Linked DNA regions of Callithrix jacchus. Each later gene encodes a partner of the first gene's protein in a complex. Links are inferred from orthologs where the notes say so. Each region holds a gene or a part of one and is shown in the gene's direction. Other genes may lie near its edges.

Region 1 (3,652 bases):
ATTGTTAGAAGCCAAGATTTTAGTGGAAGTTATTAGTATGAAGTCCAGGTACTACATTAAAATCCAGTAATGTTGATTGGATTTGGAGGTAACAATATGAAAATTTTTTTCTAAAAATATACACAAGAATCTCTTGCTTAAGATCAGTAATCTATTCTCACAAATAGATATTTATTAGCACATTTTTGTTGTTCTAAATGGGAACAATTATAGTGAATGGAAGGTAAACCCAAAACATAGCTATTTCCCACAAAATAATGTATACCTAATAATGCCTGTAGAAAAGTGTCAAACTATCTTGATAAAATCCAAAATGTGTATTGTTTCCTAATCATCCAACAATTATTGCTGTTACTACATACAGTTGCTTTTGCATGTAGTTACATGGACTTTGTGTATGCTGTATGAGAAATTGTTACTTTATGGTATGTTATAGCAAATAACACATAGCAATCAGAAAGCTGAAAGTCCAAATTAAATAAAAGACCCATAATAGGTTTCTTCCACACTAAAGAAGACATGATTCTTAAAGAAAGTCAAGAAGGGGGAAAGAAAGAAGGGTCAAATCAGTCATTGCTATTTGCAGAAGGCAATGGGTGGATGAAGGACAACGGGGCAATCTTAGACAAACTGTTATATTAAGAGGAACGAAGACACCTTCTTTGTGTCTAGGAGGTGCTGTTGAGATTGCCAGACGGGAAAGCGCTGCTAAATCTTCAGAAATGGTGTTTCAGCTGAAGGAAGGCATGGTTGTAAAATGCAGATTTGCTTATTTTCCTGTTGAAAAATTTTTTCATGTGGTGCTGTAAGAGTTATCGGGCTATTATTGAAAGAAAGATTTATTGTCACACTGAGTGTGACTGCAAGACTTTCTTAGCAAGTGGCCTGTTTATTTACACTCAATGCACATGTTAAGATGGCTACATAGGATTTTACTATGTTCTATTAGTTTGAAATTTAACTCAGCATTCTTCCAGCACAGAAAATTGTTTACAATATTGTACTGAGCATGAAAGATGTAAGTAAATACTTCCATTTGATGTCTACACACCAACATTAGTTGAAAAATGAAGCAGTGAGAGGTTGATATATACTCTGTAAATTAAGATACTCAAAACCAAAAATCCTTCTACTGGGTAAACATTAACTCGTGAAACATTCTACAGGATGTACATGCATTTTTCTGGGTCTGCCCCCTGAAAAGATCTAGTAGTAATGTGATCCGATGGCAGTGAATGCTTCTGATCTCAAATGAGAGCCTCCAAAATGCCATTTTCCAACAAAGAGACTTAAGGCTGCTGAGTAAATGGCTGATTACAGATGTGGAAGAGAAAATGAGGAAACTGAGCTTATGACATATGTTCACCCTAGAGAGGGCTCATCTCACTTGGGCACCAACAGAGAGGGGTCTCAGGTAGCAACAGTGGGGCCATTGGACCATCAAAGGAGCAGTTGATGTACTTGCTTGAGGCCTTAGCTTTATAATTTTTACTAAAACAAGGAAGGAAGGAAGGAAGGAAGGAAGGAAGGAAGGAAGGAAGGAAGGAAGGAAGGAAGGAAGGAAGGAAGGAAGGAAGGGGAATAAAATGGAAAGGAGGAGAAGAGAAGGAAGAAAGGAGGGAGGGAGAGAAGGAAGGAGGTAAAGAGCTAGAACAACAAGATCAAAGCAAAATATCTTTGATAACTTTCTGGTGGAGTCCAGAGTGGAAATTTTGCATTACTGGAGACTACAGCGTGGGAATCTGTGCTTCGGAAATAAGTCAGTAAAGATACATTTGATACATTTACACGGATGTTTCCTCCAGCATTGCTCAAAAATCCAAAATTGGAAGTGATGTAGGTAATTACCTAAGAGATTGATTAAATAAATAATGGTACATCTTTTGTATGTAATATTACCTAGCCACTAAAAATAATGGAGTAGAACTCTATTCAATGACATGTAAAAATATATTGCATAATGGAAAAAAGAAATTTCAAAGTAAAATAAAAGGTTTGACCTTATTTATTTTACAAACTAAAACCCTACATGATTATACAAGTCAATGTGTTTGCCTTAAAAAGATAAAGGTATAGTGTCCTATATGATGATATCACAAACAGTGATCACTTCTGGGGTGGCAATTTGATAGCAGTTGTGGGTAGAGAGTTCGGGAGAAAATACTCACATTTTATTTCATAATTCTTATCTTTTTAAAGCTTTTTTATAAGCATGTATTGTGATACATATGTGAGCAGATATGGTTCCTTCTAAGTACCAGTTATACCATTGCTTAACCCTGTCTATTTCTTCCAAAGGTGTCAGGCAGCAAACAAGACTTGCCCCACCAATTACATGTGGAATAATCACATCTGCAGATGCCTGGCTCAGCAAGATTTTATGTTTTCCCCAAATGCTGGAGATGGTAAGAAGAATGATGTTTTAACGACTAAATGCCAAGGGTCTATATTGTGATTAACATATTCTAATATTAATGTACAATATTCATTCTTTCAAATAAGTGACTTAAAAATACTACATTTTCTACTTGACATTGGTATTACTTTGAACTCCTTTATAAAGGAATATACCCATGTTTGTGCACAACAATTTGATGGCAGACATACAAAGGAAGATGCTTCTAAAAGCTTTTAATTGTTTTACACCACACCTAGAACCAAGTAAGGTATAGTAAAGACGCTCTGACTGTGTTTGTCTAGACTCAGCAGATGGATTCCAGGACATCTGTGGACCAAACAAGGAGCTGGATGAAGAGACCTGCCAATGTGTCTGCAAAGGGGGGCTTCGGCCTGCCAGCTGCGGTCCCCACAAAGAACTAGACAGAAACTCATGCCAGTGTGTCTGTAAAAACAAACTCTTCCCCAGCCAATGTGGGGCCAACCGAGAATTTGATGAAAACACATGCCAGTGTATATGTAAAAGAACCTGCCCCAGAAATCAACCCCTAAATCCTGGAAAATGTGCCTGTGAATGTACAGAAAGTCCACAGAAATGCTTGTTAAAAGGAAAGAAGTTTCAACACCAAACATGCAGGTAAGAGATCCTCAGAAAGGGGATGAATTGCTCTTACTAGAAATATGTTCTAAACCAATGGCAGTTTTCTTAATTACAGTAACAATTGCTTGTTAGAATGAGCCCAGTAAGTTCTGCAAGACAAAATATTATTATTAATTTTTTAAGCAGTGCTAAACCTTCATGAGACTGGATTTGCTTCCAAAAAAGCAAGACAGGAGGCTTGAGGATCAAAACTAGATCCAAGCTCAGAATATACTCTAAATTAGTGGACCCTGGGGGATCTTCTCAAAAGACATACAGGCGATCCAAAAAGTGTGATGCTGCCTTCAGCCATAATTTAGGACAACTTTTCTAAATGCAGACAATTTTTATGTAAAACTTACAAAGGATAGGATAGTACCATTGACTGTAGATAGAATTCTGTCTGGAAATGAAAATATGTAAGTATTTGATAGAATTAAAGAAATATATGAATATGTTGTTAAAGGTACTCAAAACTCATTTCTTAAACTTGCTTTTGCTCTCTTCTTCACCAAGAAAAAAAAAATGAAGTCATTGGACTCAAACACATTTAGTGTTAATCCCTGAACCACTTCCTCTTTAATCCCAGAGAATAAGGTGATCCTACTGTGTAAG
Region 2 (3,652 bases), about 130 Mb from region 1:
GATGTTCATATGACTAGCTTCATCAAGACCACCTCCTGCAGAATTATTTACCCTTTTCTTTGCATCTTCTATATTTTTCTCCATAGCACTAAACACCATCTTTCATACAATCAGTTTTACTTATTCTTTAATTGCCTGTTTTCTCCAGTTAGACTGAGGTTCCACAAAGACATTGATGTTTGTCTGATTTGTTCACTGCTCTTTCTCCAGTCCTTAACAAGTTTGGCGTGTAGTAGATGGTTAATAAATATTTGTTGAATGAAAGAATGTATTAATTAATAGAAAACTCAGGAATCTCTGTAAGTGACCTCTGAGTTTGTAACTTTCCATCATATGTCGATCCAACTTGTTGTTGGTAGAAGACTTTTTTTTGTTTTTTGAGATGATGTTGCCCTGTTGCCCAGGCTGGAGTGCAGTGGCATGATTTTGGTTCACTGCAATGTTCACCTCCCTGGTTCTAGCAGTTCTCATGCCTCAGCCTCCTGAGTAGCTGGTAATACAGCCATGTGCCACCATGCTCAGCTCATTTTTGTATTTATAGTAGAGATGGGGTTTCACCATGTCAGCCAGGCTGGTCTTGAGCTCTTGGCCTCAGGTGATCCACTTGCCTTGGCCTCCCAAAGTGCTGGGATTACAGGCCTGAGCCACCATGCCTGGCCGGTAGAAGACTTTGACTATGTCTGGTAAGAGTTTACTTAAGTTTGAGAACTAAAGTTTCTCTTTTCTTAGAAATAGCCTCATAGTCAGGCACTTCACTTTAATACCTCCCTGAAATTAATTTTTCAGGGGACAGAGGGACTTGGACTGGCTTTGGCCCAATAATCAGAGCAGCACCGAGGAAAGGGTGGAGGTGACTGAATGCAGTGATGGCCTCTTCTGTAAGATACTCACAATTCCAAAAGTGATCGGAAATGACACTGGAGCCTACAAGTGCTTCTACCGGGAAACTGGCTTGGCCTCGGTCATTTATGTCTATGTTCAAGGTAAGTGGTGAAATAAAATTCATTTCCCACGTCTCTTTACCAGTTATAAAAGACAATAGCCTCAAAGAAGAATTGAGTACAAGAAAGAGCTTGCTCTAAAGGCTGTTTGTCAAGTGGAATACAGAAAATTCTTCTCTCTTGAGGCTTCCTCTGAGAAATAAGACTCATTGATTGATTCTAGAGCTCGGGCTGTGTTACCGCTCTTCTGCCCAATTCGTTTGGGATTGATCTTTGTTTCCAGGGTAAATTCGTGTTCACTATTGGCCACTGAGACTTATAAAAGTCTTCTTATGTTTGAGAAGACAACCTAAAATTCTTGAAATTGAGGAAGATTTGGGGGTGAATTATGAAGAGATTTCTGTGGAGAGACAAGTTATCTATAGCAGAAGAAAAGATTTTCCCAAGAATTCATAGGAAAGCATTTTTGCCAAGAGCTCTGGAGTTTTTTTGCACATAGGAACTTTTTTTTTCTTACTAATACTTCATAAAAAACAATTCCCATACTCATGTGCAAATAAAGACATTGCTTCAAAGAGTCTTTCGAGGACAATGTTTCTTTCCTTTGCTTGTTTAGTCTGAGATCTTGGATGATATACCATATTTTTCTAGGATTTGCAACTTGGGATTGATACCATGGAGGCTGATTTAACAACCATATAGTATAAAATAAATGTCACACATATTCAATATTTATCATGAGCTATGCATTCTTTGTGTTTCAAAAATCTTACACTATCTTATTTTTTTCTGTGAAAACCTGACTTAAATAATGAGATTTCTATGATATAAATTTGAGGAATGTAAGGGTTGCATCATAGTTTGCTTGGATGTACCAAACGTTTTTCTTTTCAGTGAAGATAAACAGACACTTTATGTATTCATGTATATGCCTCTTTACATCCCAGAGTATTTGAGACAGGTGAAGATGACCTAGACCTTTTTCCCAGAAGCAGCTTTTACAGGGCAAGAATTTCATCAGCTTTGGGAAACACACTGGCATATATCTGCTTACATCTCAGTAGTGTCTAATATGGTTAGTGCAATAAAAAAGTGGAGACCACGTCAAAATAACTTATGCCACTAGATTCATGATATTTGAGAATTATTTTTGCCAGAGTAAGCACTGTCCAAGATAGAATGCTGTGCCCTCCTCCTCCCCTCTGCAGGATTTGAAAGAGACAAGGCTCAGATCTTGGAGAATTTCTGACTCCTTTTGATCTGGCAGTCTTGGGAGATGCAGCTCTGTCAGACGAGGGCGAGGATTTCCTGCTTTTAGCCTGTCTGGAAATACTACAAGATGAACCTCCCCCATAATATCTCATTATTTACTTCTCCCTAAGTCAGGAAACTTGGAGACATGTGAAAATTCATTTCATGAATTTCAGTAAATATTTTATTTTGAGAGGATGGGTGGTTGTTTGGGTTTCTTTTGTTTATTTCCTTCTTTTGAGATACTGAAATAGAATTGATTTACTAAACAGGTTTAGTGTTACGTCAAAGGGTTAATTTAATTTCCAAAGGCTTGTTCTGTAAGCAAGTTATGTAACACTTCATAACATCTGGATGAAAGGTAGGCAATACTAAGAAGTAGCAATCCTTAGCACTGTTTACTGGTACGCTGCCTGTCTTTCGGTATACCATTAAATTCTGCTTCCTGTCTAAGCCTAAAGTTCTAGGAGTTGGGCTGTCCAAGATTTTGGCCATGAAGTTAAACAATGGGAAAGGAAACACTAAAGTATTCTCTATGGATAGGTGTTTAATGTCCCCTCCGATCCCCACCTTACTTCCCTAGTCTTCTGACCCCATTCTCTTCAGCAATGGATGGAGCCAGGAAGTCAGCCCTGGCCTTATAAGATAATGGCTATGGCATGTGGTGGGCTAGATTGGCTGCTTTTCTGTGCTATCCAGCTGGGAAGGAAATCAAACTTCTGCTGTTGCAGGGAATTAGCTGCCTTTGTCCCCCCGTGGTTTAATTAACTCTTTCTTCTCTTTGACTCACTGTTATGAAGCACTCTGAAAATGCTTGATCAGATGTGTTGGGCATAGCAATGTGAAATGCTATCTCTCTGAGACTTCAAGCATGACTCCACACCACATCGTCTCTATCTCTGGGAAATGGACAAGTTTTCCAGCAGTGTGTTAACATTGGATGAGTAATGTTTGAATGGCCTCAAAATCTTTTTTTTTTTCGAGATGGAGTTTTGCTCTTGTTGCTCAGGCTGAAGAGCAGTGGCACTATTTCAGCCTACTGCAGCCTTGGCCTCCCAGGTTCAACTGATCTCCTGCCTCTGCCTCCAAAATAGCTGAGATGATAAGCACGTGCCACCATGCCCGGCTAGTTTTTTTTGGTATTTTTAGTAGAGATGGGGTTTTGCCATGTTGACCAGGCTCGTCTCAAACACCTGACCTCAAGTGATCTGCCCCCTTCAGCCTCCCAAAGTGTTGGGATTACAGGTGTGAGCCCCTGCACCTGGCCAGAATCTCTTCAGTTTTCTTCTCAGTCTTTGGAATGGTAGCTTTTCAGATGTTTGTCATTGAAGATATCAATGACTCCTAAATGTTAAACGAAATGCAATCACTATTAAACATGATTTTTAGAAAGAATCATATCCCTGGTGTCCAGAATCTTAAAATGCTAATGTAAAAGATTATCTCGAATCACTGAATTC

The links.
Region 2: the proteins of VEGFC (region 1) and KDR are in contact, whole or in part, in a crystal structure (PDB 2X1W), measured with the Homo sapiens proteins. The link is inferred for Callithrix jacchus from reciprocal best matches to the Homo sapiens genes VEGFC and KDR. Residues at the interface, in NP_005420.1 of Homo sapiens: Thr148, Asn149, Phe151, Lys153, Phe186, Ile188, Val190, Pro191, Leu192, Gln194, Pro196; in NP_002244.1 of Homo sapiens: Val135, Tyr137, Ile215, Val216, Val217, Val218, Asn253, Val254, Gly255, Ile256, Asp257, Phe258, Asn274, Arg275, Asp276, Phe288, Leu289, Ser310, Ser311, Gly312.

The regions. Positions count from the first base shown.
Region 1 is NC_133504.1:14,624,615-14,628,266, forward strand, and holds part of VEGFC (vascular endothelial growth factor C), read left to right. Parts: intron 1-2,298; coding exon 2,299-2,405; intron 2,406-2,700; coding exon 2,701-3,034; intron 3,035-3,652. UniProt on the Homo sapiens protein: Growth factor active in angiogenesis, and endothelial cell growth, stimulating their proliferation and migration and also has effects on the permeability of blood vessels.
Region 2 is NC_133504.1:141,635,123-141,638,774, forward strand, and holds part of KDR (vascular endothelial growth factor receptor 2), read left to right. Parts: intron 1-786; coding exon 787-983; intron 984-3,652. UniProt on the Homo sapiens protein: Tyrosine-protein kinase that acts as a cell-surface receptor for VEGFA, VEGFC and VEGFD. Plays an essential role in the regulation of angiogenesis, vascular development, vascular permeability, and embryonic hematopoiesis.